Linked DNA regions of Drosophila melanogaster. The protein of the gene in region 1 interacts with the protein of each later gene in a pairwise test. Each region holds a gene or a part of one and is shown on either strand. Other genes may lie near its edges.

Evidence for each region.
Region 2: the proteins of CG8159 (region 1) and CG10274 interact in a two-hybrid assay, tested with the Drosophila melanogaster proteins (one large-scale study listed by BioGRID).
Region 3: the proteins of CG8159 (region 1) and aru interact in a two-hybrid assay, tested with the Drosophila melanogaster proteins (one large-scale study listed by BioGRID).
Region 4: the proteins of CG8159 (region 1) and Xrp1 interact in a two-hybrid assay, tested with the Drosophila melanogaster proteins (one large-scale study listed by BioGRID).

The regions. Positions count from the first base shown.
Region 1 is NT_033777.3:8,724,911-8,728,893, forward strand, and holds CG8159 (uncharacterized protein), read left to right. Parts: upstream 1-1,943; 5' UTR 1,944-2,017; coding exon 2,018-2,137; intron 2,138-2,199; coding exon 2,200-2,747; intron 2,748-2,815; coding exon 2,816-3,061; intron 3,062-3,120; coding exon 3,121-3,406; 3' UTR 3,407-3,460; downstream 3,461-3,983. Other genes in the region: ouib (ouija board), read left to right, coding at 574-693, 742-1,214, 1,278-1,623; ranshi, read right to left, coding at 3,542-3,656, 3,716-3,961.
Region 2 is NT_037436.4:6,178,135-6,183,409, forward strand, and holds CG10274 (uncharacterized protein), read right to left. Parts: upstream 3,696-5,275; 5' UTR 3,634-3,695; coding exon 2,715-3,633; intron 2,661-2,714; coding exon 2,047-2,660; intron 1,982-2,046; coding exon 923-1,981; 3' UTR 543-922; downstream 1-542. Other genes in the region: CG7376 (uncharacterized protein), read left to right, coding at 1-73, 131-291, 348-510; D19B, read right to left, coding at 4,283-5,275.
Region 3 is NT_033779.5:861,299-867,574, reverse strand, and holds aru (arouser), read left to right. Parts: upstream 1-1,713; 5' UTR 1,714-1,748; intron 1,749-2,514; 5' UTR 2,515-2,666; coding exon 2,667-2,698; intron 2,699-2,780; coding exon 2,781-3,177; intron 3,178-3,236; coding exon 3,237-3,380; intron 3,381-3,440; coding exon 3,441-5,012; intron 5,013-5,076; coding exon 5,077-5,256; intron 5,257-5,316; coding exon 5,317-5,409; 3' UTR 5,410-5,726; downstream 5,727-6,276. Other genes in the region: CG13950 (uncharacterized protein), read right to left, coding at 5,879-6,146, 6,218-6,276.
Region 4 is NT_033777.3:18,913,058-18,917,968, forward strand, and holds the start of Xrp1 (Xrp1), read left to right. Parts: upstream 1-1,910; 5' UTR 1,911-2,868; intron 2,869-4,911.

The DNA.
Region 1 (3,983 bases):
GGCCATGTTATTGCAAATTTTAGTTTTTGCTATTTTTTTTTGCGTAATTTACATCTGCATTGCAATTGCTTCCTTGAATATAACAAAAGTGCCTATATAGTCTTATCTTATACATACATACTTTATTGGGCTAGTTTTAAAATAAAATATATTCAGACATGAGGTACAAAAATGAACATTGAATTTAGAATCAAATCTTTTTCGAAATACATTTTACGAAACATTTTACGTGGATTATTTCGATTTACCGAAACAGAAATATGAAGCTATATGTTTTGTTTTCAAAAATTGATCCTGCGCATTATTAGCATGCAGGTCGTACTTATTTCAAGCACCCATGAAATGGTTCAGCTTAACGATTTGACCAATATTATTTACACCTATTATTAAGTTTTAATATTATAAGCAGTATCTGTTTTATCAGACTGCTCCAGTTGTTAACAGATCAATAGCTATTTAAATAAAGATTTTGACTTTCAAAAATCCCCGCCTTGAATGAATAATTTATCTGGTTTGCCTCAAAATGTAATCACCATACAATTGCCTTTCCATCAGTCGAGTTTAGTGATCGAGATGCTGAACATCGTGTGTAGAGTCTGCGGAAGGCAGAAAATCTGTGAGAAGAGCCTGAATCTCTTCGATTTGGTCAACCGAAAATATCTAAAGCACTTGCACATGATAAGCGGACTAAGAGTGAGTTAAAAGACGTTTTAAAATTGAGATAAATAATATCAGCACCAGTTGGTGGATTTGGACGATGTTCCTGGTTTCATGTGCCTTTGCTGTCAGGCGGAACTCAGATCGGCATTGGCATTCCGGAAGCTTTGCATTAAGACCCAAACTAAATGGCTAACCATCGAGGACGACTCTTCGTCGGGTGATGAAGATACCAATGACAATTCGGAACTGGAATCGGAAAAATGCGCATTCAGCGATTTTGGGAAAAAGAAAGAAGGCGAGTTGGTTGAAGAAACTTTTCAGGTACTGATTGAAGAGGAGCCCATGGACAAAACTCTGAATAGAGATGCGAAAGCGCAGCTGAGGGAAGATGGAATAGATGAGAAGTGTGTACCTTCACAAAAGATTATCAAAGTATCAACCAAACTGGATGATCAGATTTACATATGCGAGCTGTGCGGGACTCATGCCACATCGAAACCCACTTTCCAGCGCCACATGAGAAAACACAGAGGCGAACGACCATTTGGCTGCAAGTAAACCTCGCTCACAGATTACAACTGTAGGTTCGGTATGCTGATTCCATATTCTCTTTTTAGGGATTGTGATGCCAGGTTTCTCTCTGCTGGCGAACTACGTGCCCACCACCGGGTACATACTGGGGAGCAACCGTTTGCCTGTCGCTTCTGCGAAAAGCGGTATGTCAGCTACATGGGCCGGCTGATCCACGAGCGGACTCACACCAACGATCGACCCTATGTGTGCGAAGAGTGTGGCAAGAAGTTCACCACTGCCTACGTCCTAAAGAACCACATGGTCATCCACACGGGCGAGAGGAATTTCCGATGCGATATTTGCGATCGCTCCTTCCAGAGAAAGGCGCACCTGGTAACGCACACCAGATCCATGATGCACCTCCAAAATGTCAAGAAGCAGAAGTCATGAAGGATTAAATAGCTCAAGCTATGAAATAATAAGATTTACATGCTCCTTGAGATAAAAAGATACCCAAAAGGGGACTATCTTATTTTTATCTTATCGTATTTTTATGAATTTAAGTTGTATACTCAATATTTGCACCACACCTGTTTCTCAAAATGAAATAAATGCTAATGCTTTTAAGTGTGTAGGACACAGAAAACAAAAAATTTGTATAGATTGTTTGATTTTAATTAGTAGCAGCCGTTACGATTTAGTGGTTTTATAAGTCGCCAGTGCTGGACAACGTCTCAGGTGGAAAAGCTAGTGCGCTGCTTCGTGGCAAATGGCAAATCAGTTTTGGGTGGCTGTCTTGTTTACAATTGGAAATTTACTAATTAGAATCGAGTAAGCTGGTAAAATGCTGCAAAATGTGTGCCGCGTGTGTGCCAGCAGCACGGACAACTCGAAATCGTTGAAACTATTTAACAGCGGCGCCTGCAAAGTGCTGCAACAAATCAATTTGCTCACCGGTGTTCTGGTAAGCCTACCCTACGAAACACATTAATTCCTTCAATTAAAATGTTGTATCTTATTTGGCAGCTGCAATGCGAACCCGGTTTACCCGACTGGATGTGCGAGACCTGCCAGACGGATTTGAAAAGCGCCATATCCTTTCGTGATCGCTGCTTGAGGAGTCAGAAGATCTTTGAAGAGTCGCTGGTCAGGAATGAAGAGGACACATTCCGCTCCTCAGTTCGTCGCAGTGCCCGTTCCCAAAGACAGCGGCATGAAGACACCGCTCCAAAGACGCCAGCAAGTCCGCTGGAGGTAATGATTAAGCTGGAGAGCCTGAGCAATGGCGATGAGGAGGATGATGGCATCGATCACCTGGACTCCTGCAACGAAGCAGACATGGAGCTGGCCATTAAAGCGATGTCCAGCTCTACCGAAGATGATGGAACTACCTCACCGGTCAGATTGAAAAGAACCCGACGTCGGGGACTTAAGAAAGGCGGGAAAGGTGAAAATCGCACAAAGGTTACGCTTCCAGTTTTCTTTTGCGATCAGTGCGGCAACAATATTACAGGGAAGTCCTCCTTCGACCGTCACCTACGCAAACACAGCGGAATTAGGCCCTTTCAGTGCGAGTAAGAAAAGCTTTAGCTCGTCAATTGTACAATCTGATAGTTAACTGTGTAACATTGCTCTCATGTAGACTCTGCCCCGCCCGCTTCCTGTCCTCCGGTGAGCTGAAAGGACACCAAGTGATGCACACTGGAGATCGCAAGTTCCAGTGTCGTTACTGTGACCGCACCTACGTCAACTACAGTGGTCGCCTGCGTCACGAGCGGACCCACACAAATGATCGACCCTTTATTTGTGCGCAGTGCGGCAAGAGCTTTACCAATTCCTACATCCTCAAGAACCACATGCTTATCCACACGGGCGAGCGCCTGTTCAGGCTAGTAAACTATGATAAATAGTGCTTAAGTTAATGATCACCTAGCCGATCCTTTGCAGATGTGAGCTGTGCCATCGATCCTTTGCGCGACCCACCCACTTGAAGACTCACTTCCGCTCTAACACTCATAAGCACAACTTGGAGAAATCGATGGCAGACGCGGGTGGAGTTCAGCTGTCACCATCCCAGTCAGCGGATCAGGTCAAATTCGTGACGGAAAAGGAGCCAGAAGCAGAGGCGGATGCCTTTACGATAGAAGTGCCTTTGCCCGCGGAGCAGGAGCAGGATGAGTCTTTGGGCCTGGCTGCTCTGGAAACATCCACTCTAATGTATAGTACAAACTAGACCTTAATGAGTCCATCTCAACCTTTAAAGCCAAATATAGTTCACAATTTGATTATCCGTTTTGATTTTTTTTGTAAAAATTCCTATTTTGGTAATGCAACCGTTTTCAACTAAGAGCTTCTTAAGTGATACCTTTTAGGGTTTATCAAAGATTGTGTCTGCTTTCTGCATGTTTCGTCTGTGAGCATTTGAACGATAATGGGTAGTAAGGTGTGTGTAGCGACTGAATAACTTATCGCAGAGGTCGCACCTGCAAATAGAATAGATTATTATTATTACACTTAAGTACTATTTCGAGTACCCGCTTACCTAAAAGCCTTCTCCCCGGTATGCACGAGCATGTGGTTCTTAAGAATATAGGATGTTGTGAAGGCATTGTTACACTCCTTGCAGACAAAAGGTCGTTCGTTAGTGTGAGTCCGCTCGTGCTTCAACCGAGTGCTGTAGTCAGAAAAGCTGCGGGAACAGTGTCTGCACTTGAAGGGCTTTTCCCCGGTATGCTTGCGAATGTGACGCTTAAGTTCCGCCGGCGTGCAGAAGCGATCCTCACAGAATCTTAAATGAAGCGGATTAGTTA
Region 2 (5,275 bases), on another chromosome or scaffold:
TGCCAGAGCGCTCAGTCTCAACGGCATTCAATTCCGCAATAAGTGCACAAATAAGGACTTTGATGATTTCAAGGTTTTTATCTTGCTGTTAAATTTAATTTATCACTGCTAAACATTTTTCCTCCTTTAGAATCCGTTGAGCAATGTTACCTGTCTACTAATGCCACTGTCCAAAGGCTCAAAGGGTTTGAACCTGATCGAAGCCACACATGTTTTCCTCGTCGAACCCATTCTAAATCCGGGAGACGAGCGCCAGGCCATAGGTCGTATTCACCGATTTGGGCAAAAGAGGTGAGTGCGCGCTATTGAAGTGAAGTTGCTGTCAGTTTCAATACAATTGTTTTTAGACCCACGAAGGTGCATCGTTTCATTGTGAATGAAACGATTGAGGAGAATATTCTATCGCTAATTACTTCAGCCGATGACACGACTACGCTGTCGACCCACTGGGATCTGGAGAACATGACACTAGACAGCCTTAAGAAGCTATTCATACTCAAGGAGGAGTAAAACTTATGAATTTAAAACAAAAAATTCCGATTAGATTTAAGCTCTTAATAGGGCAAATTTATTTTTTAAGCTACTTATAAACAATCTTTATATATAAATATATAACTGCCACAATCAATTCATCTATTGAAAAGATGATATTTGACATGCAACCTCTCCATTCAGACCAGAATCATTAAACTTAAGTCGAATTCACATAGGTATTCTGTGTTCTCCTGAATAATGTACAGTATTATTTGTACTACAGTTAAGGACATTATATTAAATAGTATTAAAGAATATTTTCAGCTTAAAACTATATCATATCCATCTTACACACACTGTTCTCATAAGGATTATAAGGTATTGCTTTTCATAAAAAAAACCCAGGATTGATTTACCATCTGTGACAGCGTTAAACGCTGGCCAAATCTCAGACATGATCGATTTTTAAAGCATCCAAAGTGGTGCCATCGGCATGTGCTTTTTGAGCGTAGTAGCCATCGTAGGAGCTTTGCGCCTTGTCAACCTCCTGCTGATGCTGCAACAGTTGCAGTTGCTCGTAGGCAGCCTCCTGAACCTTGCGGCGCTCCTCCTCCGCCAGTCGCTTTACTTCGTTCTCTTCAAACTGCTGCGCCTGGAGTTCAGCGGATGCCGCTGCTCGCTCCGCCGCTGCCTCCTGGTACTCATCGTAGGAGTGCAGGCTGCGGTCACTACTTTCAAGCTTGTGCAGCGACGATAGCTGCTCCTTGGCCGCCTCCGCAATTTCGCGCCGCTTCGCATCCGCCTGGCGCTTCGCCTCTCGCTTGCTGCGTTCCTGCTCTTCCAGCTCCTCGCGAGCGGCATAAAACTTGGGCGAAATGACGGGTGGACGGTTCTCGTGGGTGCGCTGGTGGCGCTTCAGCGCCGTCTCCTGGCGGAAATGGGTGCCGCAGGTCTTGCACTCAAAGGGTTTCTCGCCCGTATGAATCCACTCGTGATGCCTCAACGTTTGAGCCTTTGCGAATCTTTTGGGGCAAAAGCGGCAGGCAAAATCTTTGACCTTTTCGTGGATGATCTTATAGTGCCGCTTCATGTTTCCGATATTGTTGAATCCCTGACCACAACCGGGGCAGATATGTTTGCCCTCCTTCTTGGTAAAGTTCACCTGCGGCGACCACGACGGCACTGAAACAGAGGGTATGGGGTTCACAGCAGTGCCAGCCAACTGCGCCAGATCCACTCGTTGTACACGGCGTGGATCTTTGGGAATGGTGGCCACGGATTCGGCGCACACCTTAAGCAATTCGTCGGCAGCGTTTCGGGACATGATCGGCTCAATGGATATGCCCTCAACTGGTGGCGCGGGTGGATTGTCGAACTGTTCACCAGGCGTCTCGCCCATTTCCACCTGCCGCTGGCGGTAGGTCTCAATAGCACGAAGCACACGCTTCTCATGAGTCTTCAAGTGCTTGGTCAGACTCTTAGGATAGAGAAACTTCTTTCCACAAACCTAAGAATATTAAAAACAAAACGTTGCAATGACGACGCTGGCTTAAAATATCTTTCTACCCTTACCTTGCACTCACAGCGCTTTTCCCCCGTGTGCGTCATCTCGTGGATCTTGCAGGCGTGTGACTTGCCAAAGGTCTTTCCACAGTATTGACACGCATAGTTTTTGATCTTCTCGTGCACGATCTTAATGTGGTTGGCCAGGCTCTGCTTATTGTGCGATGCGTGCTCGCATATGTGGCACTTGAACTTCTTCTCCTGGGTATGCGTCAGTATGTGTGTGTTCCATTCCTGCCTGGTGGTTTTTCCCACGCCACAGTACGGACACACGTAGTTCTTAATGCCCGCATGCCGCATCAGATGATCCTTTAGAGCACTATTGATTACGAACCTTTTGCCACAGATGTTACAGGGGAAAGGCAACTCCTTGCCGTCGTGCTTGTACATGTGCTTCTTGAGCGCCATGGGACAGCGGAATACCTTCTCGCACTCGGTGCAAGGGTAATCCCGTGGGGGCGCCGCTGCCTTGGTGATGCCGTGCATCTTCTTCATGTGAAAGGTGAGCAGGCGTATGCGCGGAAAGGTCTTGCCGCAGCCATCGACATTGCAGGAGTGCACCTCGGATAGCTCCGTGTGGGCGTGGTCGATGTGAAGTCGTAATCCTCCAGCGGTGGTGAAACCTGTAAATGCCAGTGATCAAAACGAGAATGCGATTTGGAGCCATCATTACACACCTTTCCTGCAGGTTTCCACTTTGCACTGGAAGGGCAGCAGGTCGTTGTGGTGCTTCATGTGCTCTTCGTAGCGGATGGCCTTCTTGAACTTTTGGTGACAAATGTGGCAGTCAATGATGCGGTGCAGGTGCCGTTCGCCAGGCGGAATCCTCTTGCGTCGACTCTTTGACTTTTCTCCGTCCTCGTCCTCCTCTTCGGAGCCTGTTGGGAACTCTTGGTCCTCTTCCTTAATTACGGCTGCCTTTGCTTTTGGTATCATCCGCGAATTATCCCGTAAGCGCTGGGCCAAAGGCACATCATCGTCACCATCGCTACTGTTGGGCTCAAAGTCCACATCTTGGTCAATATCTTCTTCGCTCTCCTCCGAGGATTCCGCGGCAAAGATGGTCATCAGATCGGCGGCGTCCAATTCATCTTGCTTCACTTCCTTCTCCACCTGCTCGGCCTCCTTGTCCACGTGCTCCAACATCTTGAACACATCCTCCTCGTTCTCGATCATCTCCATTTTGTGATCCAGTAGCGGATCGAAGTTGATACGATCCTCCTCGTCCTGCCCCACCAGCTCAGGCTCGTTCCCCGCCACGTTGAGCAAATCAAAGTTTTTCATCTGCGCACTCGCTGGCGGGCAAAAGACGTTCCTGGCCACCATGTCCTGGAACTTTTGCACCGAGTCCACGCACAGCTTTTGGAACTCGTGCATATCGTCCAGCCGGCTGAAGCATTGCGCGCACAGACACTTGGGGAAGCCATCCGACTGCTCCACGGCCAGCGAAGTGCAGACACACAGTTTCTTGGCCAATCCGGGTATCAGGAACAGGTCAAAGGATCCTGCGCCGCCGCCATTCTCCGGCAGGCGATTCAGGCAGATGCGGCACACCGCGTGCACCGAGTACTGGGCTGCCTCGGCCTCCTCCTGCATGATGCCTGTTCCAGGGGGAATCTGCTGGCCAAATCCGCGGAATATTAAGCCGAGAAAAACTTTACGCGTCAGACGAACCAAAACAAATACCAAAAAATACCCCACAGTGATGCCAAGTACAAACAGTTATTTAATAGCTAAATTATTAAACCGGCTAGAAATATGGATAGCATCAATAACAAATTTCAAATGTTTTAAAAAATATGTGCCATTTTAAGTGTGATTCTTAATAAATGTATGTATTAACCTAAATTAAATACGTAGTTTTATATGTGTCTCATATAAGTTGCATAGCTAGTGGAATGTAGCTAAAAAACAGACGAGTTGGCAGCATTACAGCTCACCTCTGTCTTGTTTACCAACAATACCCGCTTACCAGCACTGGGGCGAATTTAAAATTCAAATGTTCAATACTTATTACTGTTTATTATATTAAATCATTGTTAAATGAATACAATTAGTAAAGTACAAACTTAAGCAGTTTAAAGGGGGGATTTAAATACAAAAAAGATCAAATTGCAAAGTGACGAAAACTAGTTGGTAATCCTTAGAGAACTATAACTCATATGTCCTTCATAGAAACACATAATGAAATGATCGGAAACGGAGGCCGGGTTTGCTCGCAAGCATTTCCGTTTGATTCTGCCGCTCAAACATGATCCAACTTCAGTGCGTCCACTGAGGTGCCCTCCGCCTCCGCCTTCTGCGCGTAGAAGCCGTCGTAAGTGTTCGACTGCTTCTGCAGCTTGTTTAGCTGCTCGAAGGCAGCCTCCTGGATCTTCCGGAGCTCCGCCTCCGCCTTGCGCTTGGCCTCGTTCTCCTCGATCTGGTAGGCCAGCAGCTCGGCGGTGGCCGCTGCCCTTTCCGCCGCCGGATCCTGGTATTGCTCGAAATTCTTCGGCTGCTGGCGCTTCACCGCGGTGCTGGACTCCGCCTTGGGTCCAGCCGGCTCCTTGGGCTTGCCAGGCGGACGGGGCGGCTTGTCGTGCACCTTCATATGCGTCTTGAGCACCTGCTCCTGCCGGAAATGCTTGCCGCACACCTTGCACTCGTAAGGCTTTTCGCCAGTGTGTATGTACTCGTGGTGCCGCAGGTACTGCTTCTTGGCGAATCTCTTCGGGCAGAAGCGGCAGCAGAAGTCTTTGACCTTTTGATGCACCACCTTGTAGTGCAGCTTCATGTTGCTCACGTGATTGAAGCCCTTGCCGCAGTCCGGGCAGATATGCTGGCCCTCCTTCTTGGTGAAGTTCACTTGCGGCGACCACGAGGGCAGGTTGACCGATGGAATTGGATTGGCCACCGTTCCCGCCAACTGAGCAATGTCCACCCGCTCGACGCGACCACGCAGGTGCGGACTGGGCTTGGCTATTGTCGAGGATCCACTGGCCCCGTCGCCCATTAAGGCATTGGTCCCCTGCGTCTTGGGCAAATCACGCTTCTCGTGCGTCTTCAAATGCTTGGTTAGGCCCTTCTCGAAGAGGAACACCTTGCCGCAGATCTTGCACTCGCAGCACTTTTCGCCGGTATGACTTCTCTCGTGAATCTTGCAGGCGTGCGACTTGCCAAAGGTCTTTCCGCAGTACTGGCAGGCAAAGTCCTTGCGCTTCTCGTGCACCACCTTCACGTGGTTGGCCAGCGCCTG
Region 3 (6,276 bases), on another chromosome or scaffold:
TGCGTCGGTGAAGTAATACTCGATTGCGGGAAATCTGGAACATATACTAAGTTCAATCATTTGAAATTGGTTAGATTATTAATTTAAATAATTGCCTAAAGAGCTTCAAGGATGTTATTTTCAATTAGATTACTTATTTGAGGGTCCACTGTATATCCGCGCTCGCACATTACTGTGAAGCCTCACCTGTGTGAGTGCGGCTTATAGGCGACGTGTGTGTGTGTGTCTGAGAGAGGCTCGTGGAATATAAACAGCGCACAGTGAGAGAGGAAAACGGAAAACAGGTGGAAAAGAAAGCTTAAAAAATGCGGTCGGTCAAAAACTAAAGTTGCAGCAACAGGCGAGGGGGTGGCGGGTGCCGGGGGGCTCGAGACACGGAGACAAATACCTTTTCAAGCCGCACACACCAGCGCAAGCAAAGACGTCAGCTTATCTGCCACGCATGCGCGCGAGGGGGACGACAATAGTGTGGATCGGGGTGTCGATGTCTCTCCACCCCCCTCCAGCCCACCACCATCTAACGAGCGGGTTTCCACCCAAAGAACAGCAAAAACAACTATTGTCATTTGTTGTTTTGCCATTTGCTTCGTAAACCAAAAAGTATGCGAGATAAAATAAAAAAGCAAGTGTACCGCACGCCGCCGTTTTATCTAAATCCCAGCTGTCTGAATTATTTGAGGCTCTAACACCCCATCTCACGCTTATCAGGACCCAATTAATTATCTTCACCTGAATGGAAGCTATGCTTGGGGCATGTCTCCAGGTTTATGGTTCTTGTCGGGGAGTTCTTAGATACCAGTGCAGTTATGTATCTTAGATTGCCTTACCGAGGCTTATAATTTTCCCCTATTTACAGATGCATAGATACATATGTGTGGATTGCAAATATTTCAAGATTATAGAAGTACAAAAGTAGTAATACTTATATTATAAACATATATGTATTTCATTTAGCATAATGTTTTTGTAGATGTTTATGATGACTTAACTTAACTTCAAATCACCCAGCAGCTTTAGTACTTTCTCTAAAGCATGATTTATGCAAGCCCAACTATTTCCATGTTACCCAAGTGCGATAATGTTTATCGCGTTTCGTCATTGGCCTCTAAGCTGCTGTAGAGTTAGGAGCGAAAACACAAATCTGTCAAATTCCACAAGTGTGATGCAATTTGGGGCTTGTACGAACAGTAAAACGCTGAAATATAACACAGCGGCGCAACTTAACGAAAACAAAACATTTCCAGGGGTGTAGTGGGTCAGTGTTTTCTTTTTTACGTGCACTTCGCTTGTTTGTTTACTGCGATTTTGGCTTGTACAAGATCGTAAGCAGATAGTGCCTCCAGCTGACCCCCTCTGCAGTTTCTCTTTCACCTGTTTGCAAGTACACAAGCACCCAACACCCCCTTTCCCCTGTCCATTGACCCTGCGACACTGCTGGATTGATACACTGAAAACAATCGACAAACTTGGGGGTGTTTCTATCATGGAAAATGTTGTTAACATTTAAAAATGGTTAGAACTACATTCTAGAGACTTTCTCGCCATAGGATTATTATAATGATTTTCAATATCTTTATAAAAACAGTAGCGATTTTTGCTTAGTGTAGATAGGTATGCGACACCGCTGCCCGCGTCGCAGTCGGCGTCTGAGCCCAGCCTAAAACAGCGGAAAAGTTGTTGCTGTCACTTGAGTCGAGGGAGCGGTTTGGATAGAGTCTGCGAGGGTTAGAGCGAGAGGGAGCGAGAAAGTGTGTTTGCAAATCTCAGTTTTACGTGTGTGTGTGTGTCTTTTGCAGGTGTGTTCACTGGCTACACAGAAAAAATAAGAGAGATTTATCCGAGTGTTGAAAAGAATGTTACTGTGACATAGAACCATAGTTGGCCTAATTTTTGAAGATAAGAGCTATTACTCTACAATTACTCTCTATTACATCTACAATGCAATACAATTTGCTGCTGTTAATACAAATAAGATGAATATAATCGGAAGTAAACTATCCAAAGATATTCTCTGTGTAGTCAAAGTGGAGACACCGAGCTTAGAGGAGAACCTGGGGAAGTGGAAGTAGCGCGATTTTTGAATTCCAATGCTGATCCAAGCCAACAACGAAATGTTAAAGTTTGAGAATAATTGCGGCCATGTGCGGATCGCTTGGAGTGTGTATGCCAACGCTAGTGGAGGCTTGGAATCGGAATGCGGTCTGAGTCAGAGACGATTGGCTGCGCAATATCCAAGTGGCTTGGCGGGATTAGGGGCCTTCGGATGCAGAGGGACTTAGTCTCAGCTGCACAAAATAAACACAGCATAATGATCTAACACATACTTTAGGACCAATTTTCGTATTCGACACTCATAAGATTTCAGCTCGAAGACTCGGTCAGCGGAGGCTTTAAGGTCTTGAGAGACCAAATTGGGAACCAGACTTCCAAGGGGCTTAACCACACCCCTGCCAATAGGAAATTTAGTTTTGGGAATACTATTCTAATCAAGTTAAACATGTTTTTCGACAGCAGTCACGATATAATGTTTTAGTCATTGGAATAAGCGATTAAATGGGATTATTAAAAGCATACACATAATTCTAAATATTATTTTCAAATGACGATAGTTCAACTCGACCTAAGAAGCAAAAGTATAAGTTGGTAACGATCAAAACTTTTAATCAATGTTTAAGCTACTAAGTTCATCATTTAAACGGTAACTTATATTTTAAACGAATCAAAGACCGATATACAAAATTGTTGACGATGATGATGATGTGAAAAAATTTTATTTTTAGACGGAGCTTCAGACGTCGATCGAAGCCTGTACCGGGATTGGGAGACACCATGGTGAACCACCACTCGAACGGAGGCGGCAGTGCTGGAAACAGTAGCGGAAGCCTAAGAGGAGGCGGTGCCCATGGAGGCGGCGGCGGAGGAGGAGACTATTCCGGAGACGATCGCAGCGGAGGCGGCGAGGAGCGGGAGCGTCTGGAGAGTGACTTGCACGACAAGCCCACCTACCTGCTGGAACACCTGGCCACCTTCACGGTCAACAAGGAGTCCGGCATTGTGTATCCGGCGGACGGAATGCGTCGCCTCCTTCAGCTGGAGAAGACCACGGGTATTTGGTCGCAGAAGATGCAGCTCTGCCTGGACTATCAGTGGGTGCTAATTATGGACTATGAAACAGGGGTACGTTTCACAAACTGGGAAAGATCCTTATGGAACTCATCTTCATCCTTGCCTTACAGAACATAATCGAAAGATTCCCCGCCTCCTTGGTTCAGGAGCCCACCGCATTCACCTCGAATGACGCCATGGAGCTATACAACAACATTCTGGTCTTTATCGTATCCGGAGGCGGTGGTTCTCGCTCCGAGATGCACATATTCCAGGTGAGAATTAGTGAGGCTTCTGTCTCATGACAGTTTCATTCAAATGATTTATCCCTGCAGTCACAAAGTGTGTCCGCCGTTCACCTGGTTGAGGATCTGAAGCAGCTGAGAAGCGGCAAGATGATAACGCAGCAGCGCGGTGCCACACCCACTCAATCAGGAGGCGGAGGAGCCTCCAGCATGGCCATGATGATGAGCAAAACCTCCTCGTCCTCGTCGCATAGTAGAGTGGAGCTGCACCAGCACAGGGAGCAGCGGGCAGAGCGCGAGAGGGAGCGTGATCGAGACCGTGAGCGCGAAAGCCACCATCACATGCACCAAAGGAGCAGCATGGAACAGTATGGAATCCGTGCCGGAGTAGGAGTTTCTGGCGATGACGTTGCCCACATTAGTGGCGAGACGGATTCGGAACACGGTGGGATTGGGGGCGGTGGCGCAACGGAGCGCGATGAGACTAGCTCCACGTCCAGCGAGAAGTACGAGCGGGATGTGGCTGTGCTGAATCACTGTTTCGATGACATCGAGAAGTTCATAGCTCGTCTTCAGCACGCCGCCGCCGCTTCCCGGGAGCTCGAGCGCCGTCGTCGCAATCGGAAGTCGAAGAAAAGGGATCCGGGGGAGGGATTGCTCACTTTGAGGACACGGCCTCCCCACGAGAAGGAGTTCGTGGACATCTTTGCCAAGTTTAAGCTGTCATTTAACCTGCTGGCAAAGTTGAAGGCGCACATCCACGATCCCAACGCTCCCGAACTGGTGCATTTCCTCTTCACGCCGCTGGCTCTGATTGTGGAGGCCTCCAGCGACACGTACTACGAGTCACAGCTACCGGCCCGTGTGGTTAATCCCCTGCTGACCAGAGAGGCCATCAACCTGCTCATCAACTGTGTAACCAGCAAGGAAACGGAGCTGTGGCGCTCGTTGGGCGATGCCTGGGTGATCCCGCGAGATCAGTGGAAGGATGACGTTGGATCCTACCATCCGGTCTTCCTCGATGGCTGGTCACCGGACTATTTGATCAACGATGAACTGGAGCCACCACCAAATTCCCCGCCCGCTCATGTGAGCAAGCGCAGACTCGAGGTCCAGGCTGGATCCGGACTAAATGGTCGTGGGGGAGGCGGATACGATGACTACGACTCGGGGAACGGGATGAACATGGCCATGGGTATCGAGAAGTACACCATCCACCACGGCAACGACGGTTTAAGGGAGCGGGAAAGGGAGCGCGACAGAGAGCGGGCGGGCGCAATCAGTGCGTCTGACTTTAACGCCCGCAGCGAGCTGTCGTTCGACTCGATCGAAGGCAGGGGCGGCGGAGCAGCGGGACATGGCCATGGTCATGGCCACGGACCAGGAGCTGGACCAACCCTTAGCGCCATCACAGCTGGTCTGCAGAATCTGCATACGAGGGAATCTCGCAGTGGAAACGGGTACGGAGCAGGAGCTGGTCCGGGGCCTTCGTCGGAGTTGGGCGGTGGAGGCAGAGGCCTGCCGAATGTCAGCGACGACCAGATGCTCGAGTCCTGGCTGGAGGATCTGCAGGCGACGGGCGCTAAGATTGTGCTGGTCACCTATCCGCGAACCGCCAACAACGACAAGGAGCTTAGCGTGATGCGAGGCGAATACTTGGAGGTAAGGCCAGCACCCACGTTACCATCCTTCGTTCTGTCCTATAACCATCTCTTCGAAACTTTAGATCCTTGATGATACCCGAAAGTGGTGGAAGGCGCGCAACATGCGGGGTCAGGTGGCCCACGTGCCGCACACGATTGTAACCCCCTTCAATTTCGGGGATGGAGATGGAGCCCAGTTCTACGGGCAACAGCAGCAGCCACCGACGGGTCCCACAGGTCCGGGCAACAAATCGCGATCAGGGGTGAGTAAGGCTGGTCACTCAATTCATGATGGGACTTGCTAACCGCTCTACATTACCCAGGATAATCCCGGCATGGAACAGCGATCGCCGGATCCCACCGACATGATGCGCAGCAAGCATCTGGGCAAGAAGGGCGAGTTCCGCTACTTCTAGGATCGAGATGCGATCACCATATACATATACACATATTCCGTAGTGAGGATCTAGCGTTATAGAGAGACAGACATCAGCAGTTCCGTCTAGGATGCTAGTCCTGGTCACTAGCGATCGGATTGGCTCCAATACCTTGCACTCGCTCGCAGGAGTGTGCAAACCAGAACTAACCTTAAGACTAACCTAAGTGGAGCTCCAGACGGGAGCTGTTGAGCAGCACGTGGCTCCTGCTGAGGCGGATGCTTAAGCTGATGCTCATCCAGGCGAAAAGGGGAGGCGACGGCAATAATTTGTTTTAATAAAATTATATCCAAAGGAACCTGCCTATTGGTTGATGATTATTGAGGAGATTGTAGTTTGGAGAGCTGCTTTGCTTTATTTGGATGCTCACAAGAAGAAGTTAACTGGTGCTGTACGGTGATCAAAGCCAACGATTGAACAAAGAGCATACTACGAGAACTCGAATCGATTAAATGATGGACAACTTCTCCACGCGGGCCAGAAGCGGAGAATCGGAGTGGTACTCCAGGCTCCGCACGGCGAAGTCGCCCACTTCGTTGGTGAAGCACTTCAGAGTGGATATGGAGAAGGGGCGTCCGGGAAAGTTGTAGTAGGTGAAGTACTGCCCGTTGACGGCGATCAGGAAAGCCCGATCCCCGAGCCCAAAAGCGATCTTGAAGAGCTTTCCGCGCACAAATGGGAATTCGCCCTCGGTCTCCTCGTCGCTCAAGGCAAAACTAGAATAAGTGAGTAAAGGTGAATTCTCTTGGAGGAACTTTGCATATTGGAGTCTCGGACTCCTTTATACCTGTTGTCTTCACGCTGGTAGCTGCGTGACACGGTTGTCCGATCGAAGTTCACGTGGAA
Region 4 (4,911 bases), about 10 Mb from region 1:
CGCGCCTAGGTACATTCACTTTGCCCGACTTTCTTTGGGAGCGGTTTGACTACAGTCAACACACCATACAGAGAACTAAAGTGTGAGGGTACTGTACAGTCATACGATTAAAGAATCATCATAAATATCAGTGAGATATATCTGAACAGTATAAAAAACAGCACTTCCACAAAAAAAATGTTTCATTTGAAATTTAAAATGCTTTAAAAACACTTTACATTTATAAACCATTAAAACACAGCCAATGAGCTGTTATAAAACATATGTACATTTAACTAGTATATATTCAACTGTATTGTATTGTAACATTTTGTGTACTTTGGTAAATTATAACCCGCCATATAATAATAAGCAGTATTCTTTTGTGACAGACATGGAAATAGATTTAAATCACCAAGAGTTTGGTTTGCATGACTCTGGCCATTAGGTGATCAACACGTTGTACTTTCTGATTTTATCTTGCGCCATGGAGAAGATAAAAGCAGGAACAGTGTCGCCAAATGGAACCACGTCAGGGTGTCAAGGCCAATCGCAAAGTGCAATGCGATTGTATGTTTTGAAAAATTATAAATCTACAAAACAAATGTTCGTTCTGCTTGTTTAGGCTTTTCTGTGTCGAAATGCGCAGTTTCTTCCAGCGACTAAAGAGTTTTCACATTGGGTGAGCTCATCTTATGTAAGTGGACAACCCCCAAAATGAATCATCGGCCGGCTAATTTAAGCCAGCCAGCCAGCTACAGTTTAAGCCACCCCCTTTTTGCCCTGCACCGGTGTGAAAATTTCGCCCAACATGTTTAACAACACTATGAGTTTTCCAAAAGTTGTGGCAACATGTTGCCAAGAGATTTTCGCAGTCTCTGGCAACAAGCCAACAATACGAATCAGCTGGGCCAGACTAAAACAGCTGTTGCAACGTGTGGCAAGTGTTGCATCAGCCAATCTCAACCAGCGAGAGAGAGTTTCACTCACGTGGAGAGAAAGAGTGCGAATCTGTATTGTTTGTTGTTGCTGCATGGCAGGCTGCCAAACCAGTTGCCCTATACCTTTTGGAGCGGACATAGGTGACATATGTAACCATAAATACTTACATTTACATTAAAAATCCTGTGAATGATCATATGAATATAAATGAATATTTAGGCGCGAAAAAATACGCAAAGTATTGAACTATACTTAAGTTTCGCGGCTTTTTATTAAATACCAGTTTATTAACCCTTTGTGAGCAAACATAGTTGCTATTACTTACAACCTTAATATCTACGTTTCTAAATTATCTGGGTGCAGAGTAAAATTTATTCTTTTTTTTTAGCTTCTCTTATCTATTGTAGCCAATTTAGACCGAAATGCTATCTGTGCAATTTTCAGACTGTCGCTAGCCAAATAATATGAACGGCTATGAATAATCTGTCTGCGTTTTGCACAGTTTATTGAAAATATATATATTTTTTGTTATATTAACTTAACTGTGTTGTATGTAATACTTTGCCTCAAGTTAATAGCACATGGAAATTTTTTTTTTTCAGAACTTAAATCAGTTGATGCTAATGCATTGTTTACACCTTTTTCAGCTGCTTTCAACCAGCTAAGGGTTTTAGAGTAGAGTAGTATCTAAGAAGTAGAGGCACCCACTTATCCGAGTGGCCCATCCTCCGCATCACAAAAATAATGAGAGAAAAAGATCCCCGCGTGGAAATGTTTTGGGGGCACGGCCATAGAAAATAGACACAGCAGCTGAGAGAGCGCGTGTGTGTGAATATATGTGAATATATATTGGTGGTGGGGAAAGGGTATATGGACGGAGCGGTGAATGAAACCGGCAACGACGTCAGCAAAATTATATCAACCCCGGCCAGCGGCTGCCGTCCAGTGCTCGCAGTTGAGTCAGTTAGTAACAATACTTCGTCGCGAACAGAACAACAATTCAGTGAGTCAAGGCAAACGACAGAGCTTTCGGTGTGCAAATCAGCGTGGAATTTGTGAAATTTTCGATACGTGTTTTAGAATCCCATCTTAATGGCATCAAACGCTGAACCTCGTTACAAAGATATCCTATTCATAGAACAGTAATTTCTTTTCGTGTAAAACGTACCAGATAAACTCAACTTTGAGTGCAAAGTTCAGAGTGATTAACAGCCTGAAAAACATTTGCGAGAGACGCAATAAATTGGCGAAAATTAAACAAACAATTTCTATATATACTTCGTATCTCGGTATCTCAGATAACAGTTGTATCTAGATGCTATATAGATAAGCGCTTGTGAACACGAACACTTGACGAGTACATTAAGCATACGCCCGATCTACACAAGTGGTATCACTGAAGCAACAGCTGACCGTACCAAAAAAAAAAAAGAAAAAAAAAGAGAAAAACACTTCAAAGGCATTTTGCCCCAATATTATGTTCGTTCTGCCTGCGGTTGGTGCAACACTAACAGCAACAGCAGTGTCGAGAAAAAGCGGGAAATCCAACATCGCGTCGCCTAAGAACGTCATGCAACATTCGCCTGTCGTTGTCTTCATGTGTGTGCAACATTCGCAGCAGCAGGTTCCCATGCTCAACAACTTTATGTGTATGCGTATGCGCGGCTGGCATAACAATAAGTTTTATTGCAACAATTCAATCAATATCGAGACCTCCACGATCGGCACCGGCACTGGTGGCACTACGGGCACTAAGATCCTACGACGCTCCAAGTTGCTACGAAAGAAGCGTGACTTTAACCGCCGTCGCTTTAGTCGCCGCACTTTCTTTTGAAACCGATTCGAATAAGTCAAATAGTCACCGGAGATAAGGAGCAACAAGGATCAAGATCATATTAGTGCCGTCATCATTGGAACCTGCTCAACGTGGCAGCAACATGATGGAGGGTAAGCAACTACTGGCCACATTTCTCATTTTCCCAAAGCCAGCAACATTTGTTGCCACAACTTTGTTGCTGGCGGTGTCATTGACACTGGGTACACTTCACGTCGAGTATACATAGATAGATGAGGCCACCTACCTATAGGCCTATAGTAATCGTGAACTTTTGTAGGGCGTTGTTTTGATAGGTGTTTTGATTACATGTGAAAACGTGACGCTTAAAATAATAAATTTATATGGGGTTTCTAAACCGGATTCTGTCTTATATCTTATTCTATATTATTAGTTAAGTAACTAGTCTTAAATTTTGTATCTTTAGGATGATTACTAAATAATTAATAATGGTGACCTGTTGAGTTACAGACATTCATGCATATATGGTAGGGAAGATACAAAAATCTTTGGCTTTACTAATTTAAAACTTTAGAGACTGAGCACACCGAAACAGCTTAAAAAAACACATTTTTGGATATGCCAGACAACTGCTTGTTGCAAAAAATCACTTTAAACTTAGTCATACACTTTTAGCTACCACCACACTATATTGTATGTACATATGTAGATCACGTTTCAGATAAAAGTGATAAGATAAGATAATCAAATCGAACAAGGAAGGGGCTTTGTAGATCAATTGCTATTCATCTACACATGCAAAACGCCCTACCTTTCCATTCCCATTTCGTGGAATCGAAAAATGCGCACTCATCGTGAAAAGATTGAACGAATCGCTACGTGTTGGCCATTTATTTTGTTAATTTGCCAACTGAGGGCGTCCATTGTTGATGGTCGTCTTCGATATTCCAAGAGCTCGTGCCAGTCGGTGCGCTGCGCAAGATTGTCGTTTGAAAGTCACATATTTTTGCACGCATATGTGGACTGGCATTTAAGCTCCTCAGCTTTGGGGGCTAAAATCAGAGGACGTGGGCAAATAATCAAAATGACCCCCCCCCCCCTTGGTTATATTGTATTTGTGTCTGCAGATCAGGCCCATTACAAATATCACATGATGACAGTTTTTGCCAACCGCTGAAGCTCATTTTGCGCTTTATATTTATCAGCATGACTCATGGATTTCTAAATTATCAGTTAAAGCTGTTATACATACATGCATACGTACGTACGCAGAGCTTTTCGATTTCGAGAATTCAACAGCTTTTATCTGAGCACACATTCAAAGAGAGCTTACTAATACCACGACAAGAAAGCTCTTCTCTTCAAATGTGGGCGAATGAGCTGTACGAAAGAGAAAGAACGTGAAGAAATTTCCCAAGTTCACATCTCAACGATTTTTGGATTGTCGTGGGGTTCACAGTCTATTATTTTTAAAGGCCAAACAATCTAGAAAATGAATGCATTTGCTCTGAAATTTAAAAGACTTCCAACTAAATCACTCCCTTGGGCTAATGCATACATACATACATACATACAGATGCGTACATATATTATTATTTAGTATAACCATGCATTCTCATGCCTCGTTCTTTTGTGTTTTTAATTTTGTTTAAAGTTCTTGACCCAAAGAATATAAGATCCCAAAACAAAATGATCTTGAAAAGTTATTTTTTCAATGAAAAAACTTCTGCAATATTTTATTAATGCTAAGGGTATGCATGCAAAGTATTAGAATTACCTCAAGTTATTATAATTTCTTATGAACTATAAGTCTAAGATAGCTTAAGTACTTTGTGCAAAAAATTTCTTGACAGTGTCAAATCTGTGCAAACTTGGAAACTTAGTTGTTTTTCTCGTTCATTGTTAATAGTTTTGTTATTATTTTTTTACATATTGATGAAAAAACCTATGAATAAATAGATATTAATAAAAAAAATTCATTAATTTTAAAAAGAGGTCTTTATATATTTTTGCATTGAAAGTCAAAAATACAATTTATTTTCATTGTGCAAAATGTATGTATCTAATTATTTAATAGAAATGATATTGTGATAGGTCGGTCCACCCAAGCAAACGATTATGACTCATGCCTATAATATATCTCACTCATGAATACTTAGTCTCACTAAAATGTACTTTGCAATGTTTGGTTCGGT